3 linked regions of the Cricetulus griseus genome follow. The protein of the gene in region 1 purifies or fractionates together with the protein of each later gene. This does not show direct contact. Links are inferred from orthologs where the notes say so. Each region holds a gene or a part of one and is shown in the gene's direction. Other genes may lie near its edges.

Region 1 (4,235 bases):
TCACAACCACATTGAAGGAGATCTGGTGCCCTCTGCTGGCCCGCAGGCACAAGACTGTATACATAATAAATAAAATCTTTAAAAAAAAGTTTAAAAAAAAAAAAAAAAAAAACAGTAACATGAAGCCCATGTGTAACTTTACATGCTCTGGTACAGGCTTTAAATACTCAAAAAGGAAGAGCGTTTGACCAAAGAACTTGAAAGCAAGCTATTTTAATTACAAAGAAAGGGATTCTTGTATGCGTGTGTGTGTGTGTGTGTGTGTGTGTGTGTGTGTGTGTGTGTGTGTGTGTGTGTGTTGAAGGGATTCTCGTGCGTGTGTGTGTGTGTTTACTGTGTGTGTGTGTTTTGAAGGGATTCTCGTGTGTGTGTGTGTGTGTGTGTGTGTGTGTGTGTTTTGAAGGGATTCTCGTGTGTGTGTGTGTGTGTGTGTGTGTGTGTGTGTGTGTGCGGGATTCTCATGTGTGTGTGTTGAAGGGATTCTCGTGTGTGTGTGTTTACTGTGTGTGTGTGTGTGATTCTCGTGTGTGTGTGTGTGTGTGATTCTCGTGTGTGTGTGTTTACTGTGTGTGTGAGTGTGTGTTTACTGTGTGTGTGTGATTCTCGTGTGTGTATGTGTGTGTGTGTGTGTTTCTCGTGTGTGTGTGTTTACTGTGTGTGTGTGTGTGATTCTCGTGTGTGATTCTCGTGTGTGTGTGTGATTCTCGTGTGTGTGTGTGTGTGTGTGTGTGTGTGTGTGATTCTCGTGTGTGTGTGTGATTCTCGTGTGTGTGTGTGTGTGTGTGTTGAAGGCACACACCTTACTGGCTTTACTGGCTGAGCCTTCTCTTGTACCCAGTCCCTATTCTGATATTTCTCCAGAAAATTCGCGTTCCCACACAAAACACAGGCTCTCCCAAACTGCAAACTATCCACGAAGCTGAGACTACTTCGGGGATATTCGGACCTGGACTTAGCCGGCGAGCCTTCCCTCCGTCACCCTGGGGCTCTTCCTGGACACCCCGTCACCCTGGGGCTCTTCCTGGACACCCGACCAGAGGCCCCACCCACAGCGACCCTCCCGGGCGGGAAGCCGGAGAGCGCGGAGCCAGGCCCACTCTGCGCCTGCGCAAGCAGCGAGGGCGGAGCCAGGGCCGGATACAAGTGGCTCTGGGCGGAACTTAGGGGCCGCTCTCTGGTCCTCGAGGGACTGCGTTCACAGCGGAAGCGGCGCTTCTGGACGGAATCTTGAGAGCAGACCGTCCTTAGAGGGTTCAGTTATGGGGGAGGGACTTAGGGCGGAAACCGGAAGTATGGGGCGGGCTTAGGGAGAAATGAGGCGTTTATAGGACGGGGCCGGGGCCGGAAACCGGCGGTGTAGGTGGGGCTTGCGGGACATTGCGCTTGCGCACGGAGCGCCCCGCGGGCTGCGTAGTTATTTTTGAACCGGGTGGCGGGGAATAGCTGAAGGAGCTGAGCCGGGAGGGCGCGGTGTGCGGTGAGGCTGACAGCGGTCTCCGTTAGATCGAGTGATGGCGCAGCAGCTCGCCCGAGAGCAAGGCATCACCCTGCGCGGGAGCGCGGAGATCGTGGCCGAGTTTTTTTGTGAGTTTTGAATGCGGCCGGAGAGCGGCCTGGCCGGGACCTAGGACGCGCTAGGGCGGAACCACCGCCCGGTCTCCTGCTCGTTCGTGCCGTGGCGGAGAACGGAGGGGCCTTCCCTGGGGCATCGTGCCATTCGCGCTTTGAAAGCCGGGGTCTGTGTTGACATCCGCTCAGCACATGTGTATTTGCACTTAGACTGCGGTGTCGTGAGAGTTGGCATTGCTGGGTTGAAGGTTTTCCGGTGTCGTTTTGTGTCAGCTCTGCTTTCTGGAAGACTTGGAAACGTGAGTAGGTGTTCACTGCTCGATTCCTTTCGTTTTCAGCGTTTGGCGTCAACAGCATTTTGTATCAGCGTGGCATATACCCGTCGGAAACCTTTACTCGAGTGCAGAAATACGGACTCACCTTGCTTGTAACTACTGACCCCGAGCTCATAAAGTATCTCAATAATGTGGTCGAACAGCTGAAAGGTAATCACGTTTTGAGTTTTACCTCTGACAGGGTTACGTTTACGAGGGTGGCTTAAAGCAATATGCCTTCTCAAATACAGCGCTTCTGGACTGGGAGGGAGGAAGTAATGGAGGGAAATCCCATCCTTTCTCCCACTGCTTTTAAGTAGCCTGAGTGTATTGATGTTAGGCGTCTCGGAGTCGGAAGTGTCTTATCAGCTGCTTTAGGAATGCATTTTGCGGTTTAAACAGGTACAACGAGTTGATGGTTTTACACGAGATGATTTTGCTCTTCTTAGACACCCATTGATATGCTGCAGTTGTTGTAACCAGGGTATTACTAAATAACAATATACAGGAAAGTTCCGGTTTTACTTTTCAACTATTCTCTTTATCTTCCTTAAAAGCGGTGGCTGTAATTCAGTATCTGGACAGTTTATTTATTCATTCGTAGCTCAGTGTTGTGCTGCCTGTTTGGCCAATACTTATTCCCACCTATTTCTATTCCTTCTGGAATCCTTGTTCCTCGTGTTGCACACCACTTAGGATTGCCATTCTAATTATAATAATCTTTTCTGTGTTTAGCCTTGTATCTCCCAACAAAGTCTTATAAAAACCAATTCCAAAAGCATTACAGCTGTCTTTTTTCTCTCTAGTTTTTCATGTGTTTGGGTGTTTTTCCTGGGTTATGTCTGTATGTACCAGGTGCATGCCTGGTTCCTTAAAAGACCCGAAGAAGGTGTCAATTCTTAGGAAGAGCACCACTGCTCCTAAGAAATTTTTTTTTGCAAAGATGTTTTAGTTTGTTTCTATTGTAGTTTCATTACAGTGTTCATTGCATTTTTTTTTTGTTGTTGTTAACTTTAGCATTAAAATGACCTTCTTTTGGTGACCAGCTGAACATAGACATCTCTTTAAGGCCATATTTTTTTTGTTTTGTTTTACTTTTGAGGCAGGGTCTCTCAAAAGCTCTTGACTATCCTGAAATTCGATAACCTTGAAGCCCTGTAGATAAAGTTGCTCTTGGTTGAGAACTTCTTTGATAGATTAGACAGCTAGAATAGGAAAGGTGAAGTACTTGATAAATATGTGGAGATAGATTTCTATTCTCAAGTGCAAGCAAGATACGTATACGCTGAGAGGAGCAGCCCATCTCTCATTATTTTCCCAGATTGTGGGTCAGGGTGGAATCATGTATGGTCATTGGATGTCACTCATACTTGACCTGGAACTGCTAGATAGCTATTGCTAGGTGTCATCACCATCATCATCATCCTGGTTCAATAGAGAATCCAGCCTTAACTGATACTGGGGTTACAGGTTGTCACTGGTGACATTGTACCTCATCTACATTTTTGTTGTCACTCACTTCTCCTGTCCTAGTTAAAACACAGGAATTGCTCTTTATGAATAGGCAAATTGTTCTCTTTCTTTTCAGTCCCATTTCCTCTAGCCTTTTTAGAAGCATTTTACTTCTTTCTTTCTTTCTTTCTTTTCTTTCTTGTATTTTCTGTTTCTCTGTTATGATTTCCATTCTTCCTGTTGGTTTCATCTCCCTCCAACTTTAATCTTACAAAAGAAAAATGATGTATACTGAGTTGCTATCCCAATTTCAGTATTAACTCAGGGTTCCATCTGAGATCCTCTTTATAATTGCTAGATTATCTGTGCCATTCACAACTTCACTACCAACTTTTATGTGATTAAGCTAACCCTCTACTCCAGACTCATAAACAACGTGACATCTCTGTATGCTTTATACTCTGCAGAATAAAAACTAAATGTAGGATGATCTCGAGAATTGTTCATTAGTTACTAGGTTAACAGTCCAACGAGAAATGAAGTCTGAAACCTGAAAGCTACCTCAAAATGATTCTTTTTGGTTTTTCTAGACAGGGTTTCTCTGTGTAGCTTTGGAGCCTATCCTGGCACTCGTTCTGGAGACCAGGCTGGCCTCGAATCAAAATGATTCTTATTGAAAGCTAATCAGATAATCTTAACAGTTTTAAGCATGAAATTGCTTTGTTCCCTCTCTACCGGTTTATGCTATGAACTTTGAATCCTAGTGTCTGTAGACCCTCTTTTTACCCCCTCCAGCTAACTTACTACCAAGTATGATAGTTTGGAAACACAAGTTTAATTGTTCACTCTGCTTAAAACACAGTTGTGGTTTTCCTGATTCTTAAAAGCATAGTTTCATTA
Region 2 (3,649 bases), on another chromosome or scaffold:
ATGGGAAGGATTATATAGCTTCCTTACCATTTCAGGTAAACTTGAGTGTTTTAAGTTTTTCAGTGTGTAAAAACAAACAAAAAACAAAAAACAACCCCCCCATATACATACATACACACACACACACACACACACACACACACACACACACACACACACACCCACCCACCCACCCACCCACCCCACCCCTGGGCAGTGGTGGTGCATACCTTTAATCCCAGCACTCAGGAGGCAGAGGCAGGCGGATCTCTGTGAGTTTGAGAGCAGCCTGGTCTCTACTGGGTGGATTCCAGGACAGCCAGGGCTACACAGAGAAACCTTGTCTGAAAAAACAAACAAACAAAATCCCCACAACTTTTTTGTGTGTTTTCTTGGAGATCATGTATATCAGATTTTTATATAGATCTCTATGTATCAAGGGTATTAGTTTGTACTTAGTTTTAGTTTAACACGTGCCTGTCCTTTCCACAAAAACAGTTTTTTAATAAAGTAAATTATAATATGAGATGTTTGTCAGTTTAAAGATATTTGAGAAATCATTTTGGCTTTATTATAGTACGTCTGTGAATAATATTGGCCTTTTTCCTTGCAGCACATCATCTCTTAATGCTCAATGCTATTAAAGTTTTATTCACTCTTGTGTTGGTACCCACACTGGCCATAGTTTCACACTGAGCACCTCTTCTGTGGGTTTGATTTGTTTTTCTTAGAGTTGCTTGTAAAAAATCATAGGTTTTGAAGTACTGTAGCTTGTGAGTTTATTATCATGTTGCTTTGAAAGCTCTCAATAAATTCAAAGAAAATTGAATGTTCTGTCTTTTTTCCTGAAACCTTTTCTTAAACTTCTCTTATCCCCCCCCCCCCCTTATTGATAGGTGGCAAATGTTTGGGCCACTAAATATGGTTTGCTGTTCGAACGGAGCAGTTCTTCACATGAGGTGCCTCCAAGTCTACCTAGGTATTCCATTTATTCTGTTGAGAATATTATTTCTTGGGCTTTTTTCATGTTGATTCTGAAGTAAACTTGTTAACCTAAATGTTTGGGGTGGTGATGACGTCCTTGTTCACAGCATGAGTGTGCAAGCATTTTCATGCCAGTTAGAGCCCTGCTGTGATGCTGAGTCAGCACTCCATTGCCCTGTGCTCTCCTTCAGAGCATTAAATAGCAGCTTAATGACAAGATTCTGTTACTAGCTCTGCCATGTACTACTTTGGACATATCATTATTGCTGTCTTAGTTTCCATTTCCTTATTTGTTACAGGAATGTTAGTAGTTACTCTTGGGATCTATGCAGACTCTCACAGGGGCCCATTGTCTACAGGTGTTCAGTCATGGTGGAGACTTGTTGATGCTGCACTTCCCTTGCCTCCCTGGAAACTGTGTGCTTATTGAGAGGAGCATATACAGCAGGCACATTGCAAAAGCAGATGCTCGAAGCATCATAGCTGTTTGTAGATTTTAATCTCTGCTTTGCTAGAAAACCAGCACTTTTCCTCCTCAAAATTCCTGAAAATTGTAGGCTTAACTACTTAGTATTTTTCTCTTCTTTTTAAAAATGTGCCCCTTATTAACAAGTATAGGAGATTAAATTTCTACCATAGTCACACTGCCACTAAGAGAGATAAGTGAATGACTGTCTTAGGCCGGTTGTTATTTTCTGGGTTCTGTCATGTGATGGCTGCTATTTGCAGATTTTCCCTTGGACAGTCATTTTCTTTCTGTGTGTAAATGTATAGAATTATTTATTTTTAGAACTAAAACAGGATGATGTGAAAGACAGTATTTGAAGAATTTAGAAGGTTCCTTTTGGAGACAGTAGCTGTGACAAGATGCTTGACAAGCCCTTGAGGGAGGAAGGATTTACTTTGCTCACAGTTCAGCCCTTCATTTAGGGAAGGCGGGGCAGAGTTCATGTTAGGAGGACTGTGCATCTTGGCAGATCAGGAAGTGAATTGAGGGGTTGGGAACAGGACTGGGCAGAAACTCTCAGACCCTGTTTTCCCCAAGGCTCCACAGCCTCATGAAGCAATGCTACAAGTTGGGGACCAAGTGTTCAAACATGAGCCTATGAGGTATCTCATATTCAAGTGGTAACAGTAGATTTCTAGCTGCTTGTTTAGCACCAGGGTTATCTTGTTGGTAATTGTTTGTGTGTTTGTTTATTACTAGAGAACCTTTGCCCACTATGTTCAGCATGCTACACCCACTAGATGAAATAACTCCGCTAGTTTGTAAATCTGGAAGTAAGTGTACTTTTATACTCTTTTGCATAAACTCTGTTTTAATATTGAGGGAGGAAAATACAAATGAAGTTTGTTTACAAAGTGGCTTGTTTTATCAGAAGAAAATTTAAGCGTGTTATAAAAGTGACTTTTGGACTGGAGAGATGGCTCAGAGGTTGAGCTGCTTTTCCAGAGGTCTTAAGTTCAATTCCCAGCAACCACATGGTGGCTCACAACCATCCGTAATGAGATCTGATGCCCTCTTCTGGCTTGCAGGATACATGCAGACAAAATACTGTATACATAATAAATAGATATTAAAAAAAAAAAAAAAAGTCACTTTTATCCTGAAAGTAATTCATTGAAAGCAAGGACATTAGTTATCTCAGCAAAACTAAGACATATAAATCAGTGAGGGACACTCATGTTTGTTAACTTGCCTATAGGTGACTGTCCTTTGAAAATAAGAAAATGAATGATACTTGGATGAACGAAAGGGTTTTGTTGTTGTTGTTGTTTTGAGTAAAAATAACAGAGTCCTGATTACTGAGCACATTTTAGTATTTCACTTTTTTTGTTCAAGTTTACTGATAATCCACACCTTGAGTATATCTAAAGTCTTCCTGTATGTTTGGCTTTAAATTTAGGCTTTACCAAACATGAATCGATACCTACAAATAATAAAGACTGAAGACTGGAAGGACATTTATATTTATAGTGTTTGGTCATTTTACTGGTGCATTCCAAATGCCACTGAAGTTTCATCTCCTGCAGCATAAGTGGGATAGCCATTGCTAATCAAACCTCTGTCCTGTTTCTGTAAAACATACCAGCTGTCTTTTTAAAGGTTGTAGCAAATGGCAATAAAGATTGTTGATCATGTACTATATAAAACTATAAATACCTAAGATTCTGATTTGGTAAAAATGGAGTGTGGAGGCAAGTACCTATAGCCCCAGCTATTTCTGAGGCTGAGGGAGGAAGATTGCTTGAGACTAGCATTTTATGGGCAGGCTGGGCAACATAGTGAAGCTTCTGTCTCTCTTGATCTCTTTTTTTGTTTTTGTTTTTTTTTTTTTTTTAAGACAGGGTCTCCCTGTGTAGCTTTGGAGCCTGTCCTGGAACTAGCTCTGTAGACCAGGCTGGTCTCAAACACACAGAGATTTGCCTGCCTCTGCCTCCCAAGTGCTGGGGTTAAAGGTGTGCCCCACCAACACCTGGCCGTTTGCTTATTTTTTACTTCTTGGAAACTGCATCCCACTGTGTAGGCCTGGCTGGGCTGGAACTTTCTATGTAGATCAAGCTGGCCTCAGATTCACTGAGAGCTGCCTGCCACTGTCTCCTAAGTGCTGGGATTAAAGGTGTATGTCACCATGCCTGGCTAGTTTTATTATTTCTTTATAAAATAATTTCTATTCCTGCAGAA
Region 3 (3,649 bases), on another chromosome or scaffold:
ACTGGGGTTTCTTTTTGTTCCAAGTCCTAGCACAAAAAGCTGTGTTTTTTTTTTTCCAGTCATTAGTAGCTGTCACTTGTGAATGGCATATAAAATCATGTATTCTATGTTGTCCTCTTAAAAACTATAACCTTGCTGGGCATGGTGGTACACACCTTTAATCTCAACACTCAGGAGGCAGAAACAGGCTTGTCAGGTCTACATAGTGAAACCCTGTCTAAAAACCAAGGAAAGGAAAAACATAACCAGAAAGTTCTTTGTAGATGTGTTATATTTGAGACAGACATACAGACACACACACCATTTCATTGTATAACTTTATACCATTTTATTTATTTAATTTTATGTGTATGGTTGTTCTGTCTGCATGTATGTTTGTATCCCATGTGTGTGCCTAGTGCACAAAGGCCAGAAGAGGGCATTGGATTCCCTGGGGCTGAAGTTATGGAAGCTGCTGTGCTAGTACTGAGAATTGAACATGGGTCCTCTGCAGGGGCATCTGATGTTCTTAACCACTGAGCTTTGCTTCAGCTCCCTATGTAAAAAATGACCATTGCACCTAGGTCATTTTTAAAGTTTTTAAAATTACATTTGTATTTATTTATTGCTCATGGGCACATGTGCTTGTGCAGAAGTCAAAGGATAACTTGAAAGAGTCAGTTCTCTTCCTTCTACCATGTAGGGCCCAGGGATCAAACCCAGATCATCAGGCTTAGTGACAGGTGCCACCCTTACCTGTTGAGCCATCTTGCTGGCTCACCAAAGTTTGTTTTAATTATTATTATAGCTAGGAGTTGTACTGCCTGAGTATACATATCAGGACTTGGGAGGTAGAGGTAGGAGGATCATGAGTTCAAGGCCAACCTGGATAATATAGTAACCCTACCTCAAAAAACAAAACCAAAAATCCAAAAACCCGAAAAGTATGTCATCTATATGCCCACCCCCCAAATGCAATGATTAAAGCTTTGTAACAAATTCTAAGGGTTTAGTATTTAATATCTTTTAAGTTCACTAGAGAAAAAATCCTTACTGCGAGACAACGTGGACCTGCTGGGGAGCTTGGCAGACCTGTACTTCAGAGCAGGAGACAGTAAGAACTCCGTCCTCAAGTTTGAGCAGGCGCAGATGTTGGATCCTTATCTGATAAAAGGTGAATCCTGGGGCCCTAGAGTGTCTGTAAAGGGCAGCTAAGAGGAAAGGCAGAGTGTGGCGTTGGCACCTGGCGTTTCTTGTTTTTTGTTATTATTGTTGCTTCTAGGCTTATTTTTATTTATGTGTAAATGTCTCTCTGTATGGTGGGCATGTACATATGAGTGCAGTGGCCTTAGAGGCCAGAGGTATCAGATTCCCCAGGAGTTGGAGTTATGACCCATGTGACATGGGTGTGGGAATCCACTCAGAGCATATGAAGAGCAGTACATGCTCTTGACTGCTGAGCCATCTCTTCAGCCCCTTATTTTTTATTGTTTGAATAAAGGGTCTCATGTAGCCTTGAACCTGGCTTTGAGTTCTTGATTCTTTTGCTTCCACCTCTCGAATGTTGGCTCACAGGCATGCACTGTTTTTCAGGACAGCCTCTGTGAGGCTCACTTACTGTAGCAGTCCTCTCCCTGACCTGGCGTATGTCTCTAACACTTAGCTAATACTATTCTGAGTGGTTGTTTGACTTGAATTCAAGTGTTTTCTCCTCATAGACCATTGCCAAGCTTTTTTCTTTTAAGGGGTATCGTGCCCCATTCCCCCATGAATTAAAATTGATGACGTGGCTGACTGGTGGCATCAGCAGAATCCTAATGTCCTTTTAGGGACTTTGGTTTTACTCTGTCCTTAGTATAATTGCAAAGAAGTGGGGGACAGATATTAAGAACAGGATAGAGTGGTTAAAGTGTCATCATCAGAGACAGCCACTGATCTGGAAGCAGTTGCAGGTGAAGGAACAAGGCACAGTGGTTTGAGGGGTGGGGGAGGCCGGCAGTTTGAAGAATGGAATGCTCAGGGATACAGGGGAGTGAGACGTAAAGACCCAGCAGAGGCCAACGGGAGAATACACCTTGGGGTAATAAACAGGCTTTTAGATTCATAAAGAATGACGGAATGATAATTCTAACACTCTGAACACTAAGGTAGGATTATGAGGTCAAGGCTAGCTACACAGTGAGACCCTGACTCTACCAAACAAAGGATGACTGAGTGTGAAGGGACCTTCCCAAGTATTCAGATGAGGGAACAGTCTAGAAAGTGTGTTTGTGCAAGGTCTTCCCCTGTCTGGTGTTTATTTCTCTTCTCTACACCGCACTAGTAATCTCAGCACTTGGGAGGTAGAAAAAGAAAGGTCAGTGGTTCAAGTTCATCTGGCCATTGTGGGCTGCTGGAAACTCTGCCTTAGACCTACCTACCACCAAAGAAATACAGAGAGAGAGAAGTCAACAGTGGTGGCGCACACCTTTAATCCCAGCACTCAGGAGGCAGAGGCAGGCGGATCACTGAATTTGAGATCAGCCTGGTCTGCACAGTGAGTTCCAGGACAGCCAAGGATACACAGAGATATTTCCTGTCTGGAAAAATCAAAAATCAACAACAACATAAACAAAAAAGTAAAAAGAGAGAGAGAGAGAATAATTCAGAGTTTTAGAAATAATAGCCCGGTGGCACTGGTAGCTTGGACTTCGATACTTACATCCAAAACCCAGGCTAGCAGGAGTGTGACTGGGAGAGGACTGGGGATTTGAAGGAATGGCAAGGAAGAACAGTAGGTAGAGAGAGGTGCATGAGAGTCAGCATGGGCCTTTATAAACCATGAGGAAGGGAGGGTTTAAGTGGAAGACAGGTGGCATTCCCTGATGAACTACATTCTAGAATAAAACAGCTTTTTGGGGCATAGGCCAGGCCATTTTATTTATTCATTTGTCTGTTTATTTGAGACTGGGTGTTTTCAACATAGTAAACATGAGATGGGTGAGAGCAGTTAGGTAACAGCGTTATGTGATGCCTTCTGGGGACATTTTCTGGGATGTTGTTCACCACACTACAGATTTAGGGACAGACAGTTCTTGAAGTGACAGAGATTCAAGTTGTGATGTAGGACCTGCTGCTCCTGTGCCTACCTGTCTCTCCATCTTTCGTTCTTTCATGTGTGTGGTTTCTGCCTACAAGTTTACGTTCAGCATGTGTGTGCAGGAGCCCCCAGAGGCCAGAAGAGGACCTTTCTTGTTTTCAATGGTTTACTGTTTATTGATGCAGTCATTTGGAGAGGGGGGTCTCTTGTAGATGAGGTTGACCTTGAACTTCTGCTTTTCCTGCTTCCAGCTCCCAAATGCTGGGATTATTGGCCTGTGCCACCATCCCAGTTTATGTGGTGCTAGAAACTGACCCTGAGCTCCGAGCATGCTGGGCAGGCACTCTCCCAACTGAGCTGCATCTTAAGCCCTGGCTGTTCTGGAACTTAACTCTGTAGACCAGGCTGGCCTCTAGCTCACAGAAATCCTCCTGCTTCTGTCTCCTGAGTGCTGGGATTAAAGGCATGTGTCACCCACACCCGGTTTATTTAATTTCTAAAATTAAATTATATGTGTGTATGAGCGGGCACACGCACACACAATGTCAGAGGGCAACTTTGGGGAAGCGGTCTACCATGTGGGTCCCAGAG

Evidence for each region.
Region 2: the proteins of Mad2l1 (region 1) and Anapc1 purify together in Homo sapiens (affinity purification with mass spectrometry; 3 studies listed by BioGRID and IntAct, with this or other methods). This does not show direct contact. The link is inferred for Cricetulus griseus from reciprocal best matches to the Homo sapiens genes MAD2L1 and ANAPC1.
Region 3: the proteins of Mad2l1 (region 1) and Anapc7 purify together in Homo sapiens (affinity purification with mass spectrometry; 3 studies listed by BioGRID and IntAct, with this or other methods). This does not show direct contact. The link is inferred for Cricetulus griseus from reciprocal best matches to the Homo sapiens genes MAD2L1 and ANAPC7.

Annotation. Positions count from the first base shown.
Region 1 is NC_048601.1:76,486,606-76,490,840, reverse strand, and holds the start of Mad2l1 (mitotic spindle assembly checkpoint protein MAD2A), read left to right. Parts: upstream 1-1,382; 5' UTR 1,383-1,511; coding exon 1,512-1,584; intron 1,585-1,907; coding exon 1,908-2,054; intron 2,055-4,235. UniProt on the Homo sapiens protein: Component of the spindle-assembly checkpoint that prevents the onset of anaphase until all chromosomes are properly aligned at the metaphase plate.
Region 2 is NC_048599.1:49,881,608-49,885,256, forward strand, and holds part of Anapc1 (anaphase-promoting complex subunit 1), read left to right. Parts: coding exon 1-35; intron 36-875; coding exon 876-958; intron 959-2,170; coding exon 2,171-2,244; intron 2,245-3,649. UniProt on the Homo sapiens protein: Component of the anaphase promoting complex/cyclosome (APC/C), a cell cycle-regulated E3 ubiquitin ligase that controls progression through mitosis and the G1 phase of the cell cycle.
Region 3 is NC_048597.1:102,260,630-102,264,278, forward strand, and holds part of Anapc7 (anaphase-promoting complex subunit 7), read left to right. Parts: intron 1-1,010; coding exon 1,011-1,153; intron 1,154-3,649. UniProt on the Homo sapiens protein: Component of the anaphase promoting complex/cyclosome (APC/C), a cell cycle-regulated E3 ubiquitin ligase that controls progression through mitosis and the G1 phase of the cell cycle.